Linked DNA regions of Oryzias latipes. The protein of the gene in region 1 purifies or fractionates together with the protein of each later gene. This does not show direct contact. Links are inferred from orthologs where the notes say so. Each region holds a gene or a part of one and is shown on either strand. Other genes may lie near its edges. The genes, in order: peroxiredoxin-1 and txn.

Region 1 (4,326 bases):
TTTAAAGTGTGGGTGACATGGCCTATTTTAATAAGCCAAAATATAGTAAATAGTTTCTATTTCATGTTGCGATTGTTTTTAATATTTTTCGAAAAAGAATAAATAGCGAAAAACGCAATATAAACAACGAGGACGGCCGCCGGCTTCACGCATTCCGCCGAATTCGCGCCGCCCTGTTTGTGACGTAACGAAAGGAAGACAAGGCAGACAACATGGCTAGCACCGATAGCGAAGCACAGAGTGATGCTACCGTCTCTATTAGCGATTTATCATCAGATGAACAGAAAGATGAAGAGGAAAGTTGCGGAGATTATCATGATGATGAGTCACTTTTGCAACCGTATCGATTCGAACCCTTTTGCGAAAGTGAGGAGGATATAGCAGAAAGTAGTAGGTCTAGTGATCATGCCGATCATGACGATAGCCAGCATGAAGATTCGGCTAGACTCCAGCAAGTCTAAAAAATGTATAAAATTAAATTACTCCACTTACCCTAAAATATACTCAAAATGTCCCCTTTTGGCCTAATCTAAACAAAGGTAAACACTGGTTTTCAACCCAATTTACAAAATAAATGTCACAAAATAAAAGTTTCCCAGATATTACTACTCTTTAGTTAACAAAGTCACTGTATACCATTAACAACTGTGGAACATTAACAGTTTTACCCGTTTGAACCCGTTTGAAACCTTTTCTCGTGCGCGCGCGCGCGCTCACACACACACAGTTTAGTTTACTCATGGTACCGGCACCTCAAAAGCAAAAGAAAAAAAACGTTGCAGGCCTGTTGCTTCTCTTGCAAAACATTGAGTGCGTTGAAATACTCCAGTTGGATCCAAGGACAACAGAAAACACGACTACTTCGCCTCAATGTGATCCATCGTGATGCACACTAGCTTAGCAGCCTCCGCTCCCGACTCCAGCGCCGTCCTCTCCGACCCAGAAAACGGCTCGCTCGCTTCCAGCTCACCCGCCTTTCCTCGACTCAGAAGCCAAGATCCTCCTCCCAACTCTCCGTTCAAAATTCTTCGTTTGTGTCCCGGTTTTTGTCCCTTCGAAAACGCAGACTTCTCTCCTGCAGATCTGGAGGGAAAAATCCTTCGCCGTCCACCTTCTTGAACTTTCCCCTTTTCAGCAGCGTTTCTTGTTTGGGAATTTTATACACAGATACACTTTCAGTAGATGTATTGCTACATCCAGCTGCCACACAACGACTTGGCATGTTGATGATTAACAGATTTAAACACGAGAGAAACGAAGACTACCGGTTTTGTTTACATGCTGTCCGAAGCGGAACTGCGAAAATCAACGCCTTTCATGACGTCACAGGTCATATCGGGTTCACTTCCAGCCTGCGCTCTAGCGGCAGATCCAAATCTCTGATTCCTTCGAAAGATGTCTATTATTCATATGCTTCGGATTTTTTTCGACGCGAACTATTGGTATCAATAGAATCAGCGTTTAAAGGGCTTTTTTATTTGACAAAGTTGTTCAAAGCATGGCATCCACACTTTAAGGTCTAATTTAGGGATGTGCAAATAGAAAAAAATAAAAAAAACTCTGTTGTGTCACCTGTAAGCAATGCCTTCATCTTCTTTCAGGACCCCATAATCTGTGGAAATGGTGCGGCGCGTGTCAGACACCAGGGGGATCTTCATTGAACCCAGACCGCCTTGTTTCCGTGGTGTGTTTGTCCTTTCAAACCAAAACAAAAAGAAAAATTGATTTCAACTATTTGCAAAAGTTGAAGCACAAGGTATTATGTTAAAAATCTGAAAGTACCATGCAAAATGAGAAAAGTGAGAGTCCACAGAGGCAGCGATGACTTCACAGCCAATCTTCCTGAAGTCGTCAGCAGCGTCGCTGAAGGCGATGATCTCAGTGGGACACACAAAGGTGAAGTCCAGAGGATAGAAGAAAAAAACGACATACTTTCCTGTAGGAAGAGTGAAACAGGAAAAATAAAATATAAGGTATTAGTGCTCTTGCGCTGCCTTAATTATTGTTTACAAGATAGACTGAGGCTTTTACCTCTATAATCTGACAGCTTCAGGTCTTTGAACTGGCCGTCAGGCATCACAGCCTTAGCTGTAAAGTCTGGGGCCAGGCTTCCAATCTTTGCCTTTCCTGCTGCCATGTTTGTCCTTACTGAAATACAGAAGGAGGAAGTGGGATTAAATAAAAAAAAAAAAAAAAGCCTTCCTCGTTTGCCAGACAAAAAGCACGAATCTATGCATCCATGAAAGAGGAAGTAGTAAGAGTAGTAGTTTTAAGAGTTTTAACGTAATGCATAATCAACTGGATACGTGAAATATAACAACATTTAGAAAGAACATGATACAAAAGTCAAAATAATGAACTGGATCAATGAAGTGGGTTTTTCAAAATAAAAGCGTCAAATGAGAGAATGGTTTGAAAAAGAGTTGGAATGTTATTTAGACAGTGTCCACTTAAACTAGTATTTATTACAGCTTACGAGCGCCTCTTTTAGTTTACATTTCCGCATGTGGGAGACAAAGTTAAATGTTTTACTTTTGGTGGGAAAGAAGATCGCCCCGTTTTGGGGAACAGAGAGGTTTTCACGCCCCACAACGCTTAAAAAAAAGAAAGAAAGAAAACGTTTAGAGGCCCAAAAGTGTTAGTCTTAAGACCCAATTCATTTAATATAATATGGGGAAATAAAAGTTATAAAAAATCTGGTTATTTGATTTTCCACACGAAATCAAATCCCGAACGGAAATAAACAGACACTTGTTGAACTGAAAACTTCCGGGTTTAACTGTATGAAAAAAAAAAAAACCTTTAAAAACACAAGTAAACGAGAGGGGGGGGGGGGGGTGGTAAGATGAAGGCATTATGGTACTCACCTCTTAGCGATCACGCCACACCAACTGTCAGAAGCGAACGTGCGGGCTCGAGTGCGCTATCAGGAGGTTTTATAAAGCCCAGAAATCTCGCGATAACATCGACCGAACAAGAACAGAACCTTTCCTTGATCCCTATTTCCAGAAATGAAGCATTCAGCATGACTCTGCACTTTTTAACTGCTATTTCATGAAAAGGAAGCTAGAGAGATGCCTCTTTTTTTCTAACATCTCTAGTTTATGAAGCCATTAATTTGTTTTAAAAACACAGACGAGGGGAAAAACAGCGTTTGGTAGCTTTCTCAATTTTTCTCATAACTTTTGTCAAGTATACATTTCGTTTATCCATATTTCTTAAACTCTTCCTCTCCTTTTTTTCTACTTTGGCCATGCCCTTACAAAAAAACTCCCGGTATGGAAAAGTCTTGTAGACGTTATATTTCAACCAGGGTATTTTAAGCTGCATTTCTCTTGCCAACGATATTATATTTTCTTAAGCAGTTTCTGGAAAATCTCACTCCCTTCCTTCAAACACTTTATTGCAACACTGTGTGCTTATCCAGATTGCTGCCAAAGTCATTTATCTTTTTCATTTCCTGCTTTCCTCTCCTCTGTAATATTTACTGGAAGGAACAGAACACATAATGTACACACTGTCTCGCACAGAAAGAGGTTTCTTGTTGTTTAATTACAAGCCCTAAACGCTTAAATAAAAGCAAAAAAGGTAAAGAAAAACAACAAAATGTCTTCTGTTTAACAAAAATAGATCTGCATAATCCTTAAGTGGTTGCTCTTCATGTGAATCATTCAGTCTTGTCAAATGATTAACCTATGTCTAGTTCTTTATTTAGATACCTCACTTTTAGTGATTTTCTCACACCTAGAGCGATGATGCGTATGAATTGTGAAATGCTAACGTTCAGATTTCTCTGTTTTGCCCAGAAGCTGATCTCATTTACTCTAACTTAATGTTCATATGACCACAGATCTCATGATTGATATTATCTCAAAAGGGGGAAACAACTCAATGGAGGTCAAACAATAATAATAATAAGACTACACACAGTAGAGTAAACAATAGTGTATATAAAGTTGGAAAGAGTTCTTCTGTGTATTTTCTCTGTCATGGCAGAAGCATCCCTCCGTCTTCAGCTATAATCAAGCTGCATCTTTGCAGGCTGTTGCCATAGCGCTACTTCAAGGACCAGACTGGAGGGAGAAACACAATAACCCCCTTTAGAAGCAGCACTCTGAGCCAGTGATCAAACGCTGGCCTGCATTCATCCCCTTTCTCATCCTAATGTCTGCATAATGAGGGCGTGTGATCGTACACGTTTGAAGGACACTTGTGGGGCTGTCATTGTGGTTTCAGTCAGCACTGCAGTTTTGAAACACAATTTCCCACAGATGTGAAGGTGGGCTGAAATGCTGCTAATGTCTATTTTAAACTAGAATATCTACA
Region 2 (4,610 bases), on another chromosome or scaffold:
AGGTTTTCCTTTTAAATAGCAAAAAAGACAAAGTAAACTTAAACTTCATTCAACTCATTCCACAACATTTGACAGACGGGACGCATCACAAGTCAAACTAAAACATTTTGGCAGATTTTTGGGCCCCATGTACCAAAGGAAATCAATTTGAGGGCAGTAAGTACACTCAATTTATAAATAGTATTTTACAAATACAAGGATTTTAAGATAACCTTATGGTTTGAAAAATACAGTAAGACTCTCTTAATGATCCCATGTGACACAGGGTCTCTTTTTTTAAAGGAAGTCATCAGAACCTCTGTAAAAAGTTATAAACTTTTCAACTACTGCACTCAGTTACTTACCTTTTTGCCCCCCTTGTAGAAGTGGAATGTAGGCATGCATTTAATTTCACAGAAACTGCTGATATCCTGAAAGAGAAAAAGCAACAGTTTTTTTTTATGAATCAAAATTAAAAAAAATAAAAATACAATTATTAAGTAATTATTGTTGCTGGCCCCCAATTGCAACCTAACGCTTTCATAAAGTAGAGAGACTAAAAACAAAAGCTGGTTTTGCCCATTAAAACAAAGCTAGTTTGTACTGGCCAAGGAGGAGAACGTGCACACTCACATCAGCCTCGTCCACATCCACCTTCAGGAAAACCACATTCTTGTTGTCATCGCTTTCCGACATTTGCTGCAAGACAACAAGTACATACAACAACAGTACATTAGACTCAACTCTACAGAAACAGAGCACTTTTACTGAAAAATCATACTGGGTGTGTGTTGGACCATTTCCTGTGAACAAGCACTTCCTCTCCTTGAAGTGGGGAGGTAAACCTTATAGGGTTGCCATAGTAACAATGCATCTACATTTAAACACCGTTTTCAATTGGTCCCCCTGTTTCTATTCGCTGGTTGGGACGGTTGACAGAGAGGGGTTGTAACTTCCGAGCTCTCCGACTAGCTTAAAGCCCATCAAACCCCCAACCTAACACTACAGGTGAAACAAAAATGGTGAGCAATATCGGAGCTATCAGGCATACAGTTTTGAGCCGGATGACAGCTCAGACGAGGAAAACAAAGACGTACATGGATCCATTTGTCTGCAAGTAGAGGCATCAGTATGGAGTGGAGCAGGGAGCTTGTGGCCTGCAGATTGTAGCTTCTACATTACAACTACAAGCTCTGTCAAAACTGTCCTTTCTTGCCTGTGACTGATTCACAATAAGAAAAAGAAGTACTCAGAAATGCATTTTTAAGCTTAAATTTCTTTATACATGTTCTCCTTTATCAGAAAATGGGCACAAAAACATGTTAAAAACATTTTCATCGGATCAAGTCTTTAAGCTCCAGTTATCTACCTTGTACAAGGGGGCAATCTGTTTGCAGGGCCCACACCATGATGCAGTAAAGTCCACAACCACCAGCTTGTCTCCAGCGTCTTCCAGAATTTTCTTGAATTCTGCCTACAAAAAAAGCATGTTTCCATCATTTATTTTAAATAAGCATAAAGGTAAAGAATTCGTTTAAATAAATTACTTCATTTTGTCAGCAGGCTTTCCCATAGTGTAACGATAAGTGGTTATCAAAGGTTTGGCTAATGATTAGCAGAACAGCCCCAGATCAAAAGCAGTCGCTGTATCTGAATTCCCACCCTAACCCCCAACTTCTAAAAAAAACTATAGAGTGCACCGACTTAAAAGCAATTTGGACACCATGCCCACTACTTTTTTTTTTAATTTACGGCGGATATGACGTCATCGATTTCACGAAGTTAAAATCTAATTGATAGGAGCATTTTGCGAGGATCATTTATCAGTCTTCTGAAGATAAAAACACTTGACAGGTTGTTCAGAAAGTACATTTAAATACATTTTTAAGCAAAAATAGATTTGATGCCATGCATTGTGATCTATATTCACAGATCTAGTGAGCATTGATGCACACTGTTTTTTTGCGGAGATTTCTGGGAAATTTGCAGGGCACTCGATTTTGGAATTGTAGAATCGGACAGCACTACAAAATGGCGAACGCACAGTGCACTTTGTAGTGATTAGTGAAGGAATTCGGACGCAACCAGTGACACCCAGAAGTCTGAATGATTTCAGCAGTTTTGACATCCAGGCATGTGTACACACGGACAGAGGCGGCCCGAGGCCTAGCGGAATGGTCCAAGTGTCGCAAATAGGAGTTGACTTTTACTCAAACTAGTACTTTATTGTAGCTTTCTGCTCATCTGAGCCATGATAGGAACGTTTTTTTGGTGTATTACTAAAAGATTTTTTATCTAGTTAACGGTAAAACCTTTCCGAAAACTTGTAACCCTGGCAACGTGTTCGCGCGGCAACAAGATAGCAAAGTCCGCCCTCGTGCATCATGGGTAGAAAATGGAAAAAAAGAAAAAACAACTAAACATTAGCAATACAGCCTCCAGAGTTATTCTGTCGGAGTAATTTATTCCATCAACGACAATAAACATGCTAACTCTAAGCGAATAAATGCTTTAACAGGGTTTTTTTTTCTTGCAAAAAAGGTAAGTAGATAGAAGCTTGCTGAGAAAATAACCGCGCGGCTACCTAACGTCAACTGTGCTGTCCTGAATGTATGTAGTAGTACAGCGAAATAAATAAAGACATGATTAATTGTATTTATAGAACTACTTACAAGATCAGCCACTTCACGGACCATGTTTGCTGTTTTGAAAAGGCAAACTCTCGCTGAATCTAAAAGACAGCGGCTTCGCAAAGACCACACTTTCAGTCAAAGAGGATGACCTGCCCTATTTATAACGGCGTCAGACTAACACGTCGCAGCGGAAGAGCTGATGGGTTGACTAACAAAATAAAAGCCAGTCTTTTATGTTTAAGCGAATCATTTATATTAAAAGAACGCCGTGTGTATACGTCATTGCCACTATGATTGTGCATGAAATGTGTTGTAACCGTACTTGATTTCATGTTGTATCAGCAGTTGTGTTATTACTGGTAAAGCTTCACGAAAAATACTTTTATTTTGAAAGTTATAAACAGAATGGTTTCCTTTCCTGGATTCTTGCAAATATTTTAGCTCTTTACTGAGAATAAAAACTACAGAATCGGTGATGTCAGGCTATATATATCTGAGGCCCGTTAGTGCTTCGTTGTTGTTTCGTTGCGGCTTAAAATAACTTGCAAAACTAATCTACTAACAATAACGCGTCCTTTTAGAGAATTATATCGATAGTAAGTTGAAATACTTTTTTTGTTTTTAATTCCGTCAACGCTTGATCAGACAGTCGAATCACAATGACTTGGCAAATTTCTGTACTACCGTAAACATGGTCACTGCAGACCATATTTCCTTGTACAAACTCTGGTCAACGCCCATGAGGCCACACCCCTGCACTAGTCTTATTACGTAATAGCTTAAAAAGACTTTATTTGTTTATTCTTTTACAACTAAAGTAAGGGGTAAACAATAAACAGAAAAGTCCATACTATAACAAAAAATTGCAATATTTAGACAAATTATTGCAGTTTGATCATGGTTGGAATAAGTTTAGGGAAGTGATTTAATCAGAAGATTAATTCTAAAAGATGGTACACAAAGACTTGTTTTTCCATTTACATATTTGAATAAAGAATTTGAGTATTTAGACTACATATGTGAATGTTCCAACAGGTTCTATCGTAAAAATAAGGAAACTTCATTTGAAGCCTAAGAATTGCCTAATTTAGACCTTAAAACATTTTTTAAAAGTATCTTTGCATAATTCCATTCTTTAAAATATGATGCAAGTTCAAATCAGTTAGGCAATGCATGCAATACCAGCATACATCAATAAAGACCAAAAACAACCTTTATTATAGAATAAACAACAATATCTGGTTACAGTTTTATCTATGTCGCTGTAAAACAAGCAAATGTCACTTTTGGATTTTTTTCCCCGTTCAGGTAGAAGCCGTGTCACAGCTGTAAGAAAACAATCTTTTTATTTACGTTTGTCCGGGAAAAAAAGAGAAAAATACTAAACAATTTAAATAAAACTACATTCTATTGAGAAATACAGACATATCTCACACATATGTATTTTAAAAATAAAATTAATTCACTAAACACTGAAAAGACAATACATATCTTGTAGTTATTTTTCAGTGCAGTATATGTAAAATCCTCCTTCATTAATTGTGTAAAGACCTTTATTGGTCATCCATCAGACAGCAACAACGGCTTTGCCAGTGTTGTCTCCTTTCAGCATCCCCTTAAAAGCAGCTGGCATGTTTTCAAAGCCTTTGGTGACGTGCTCCCGACATTGCAGTTTTCCCTGCAGAGGCGTCATGTGTGTATACAATTAATAGCAGTGACACAGAAATCTTTTCATTCCTGATTGATGCTCCACATTACCTGTTTGAACCACGCCATCAGCCTCTTGAGGCTTTCAGGATGCTTGTGTGTCCACCATCTTCAGTTGGTACAGCCCTAACAAAACACAAATACAATAGTCAGAAGAAGTACAGTCTCTGGCTCATCTGCAATGCAATAGGGCTCTCTAGTGGGATCGAAGGTTATTGCAAAATAAGTACACAGTTTATAACATTTCTGAAACAGGAAGAGTACATAAAATGCTGAATCAGAGTTTTTTTT

The links.
Region 2: the proteins of peroxiredoxin-1 (region 1) and txn purify together in Homo sapiens (affinity purification with western blotting; 3 studies listed by BioGRID, with this or other methods). This does not show direct contact. The link is inferred for Oryzias latipes from reciprocal best matches to the Homo sapiens genes PRDX1 and TXN.

Annotation. Positions count from the first base shown.
Region 1 is NC_019875.2:16,491,766-16,496,091, forward strand, and holds the start of peroxiredoxin-1, read right to left. Parts: upstream 2,993-4,326; 5' UTR 2,868-2,992; intron 2,595-2,867; exon of another isoform or gene 2,533-2,594; intron 2,149-2,532; 5' UTR 2,138-2,148; coding exon 2,032-2,137; intron 1,937-2,031; coding exon 1,783-1,936; intron 1,696-1,782; coding exon 1,573-1,695; intron 1-1,572. UniProt on the Homo sapiens protein: Thiol-specific peroxidase that catalyzes the reduction of hydrogen peroxide and organic hydroperoxides to water and alcohols, respectively.
Region 2 is NC_019876.2:18,250,255-18,254,864, forward strand, and holds the start of txn (thioredoxin), read right to left. Parts: upstream 2,873-4,610; 5' UTR 2,676-2,872; coding exon 2,652-2,675; intron 1,454-2,651; coding exon 1,349-1,453; intron 679-1,348; coding exon 613-678; intron 411-612; coding exon 345-410; intron 1-344. UniProt on the Homo sapiens protein: Participates in various redox reactions through the reversible oxidation of its active center dithiol to a disulfide and catalyzes dithiol-disulfide exchange reactions.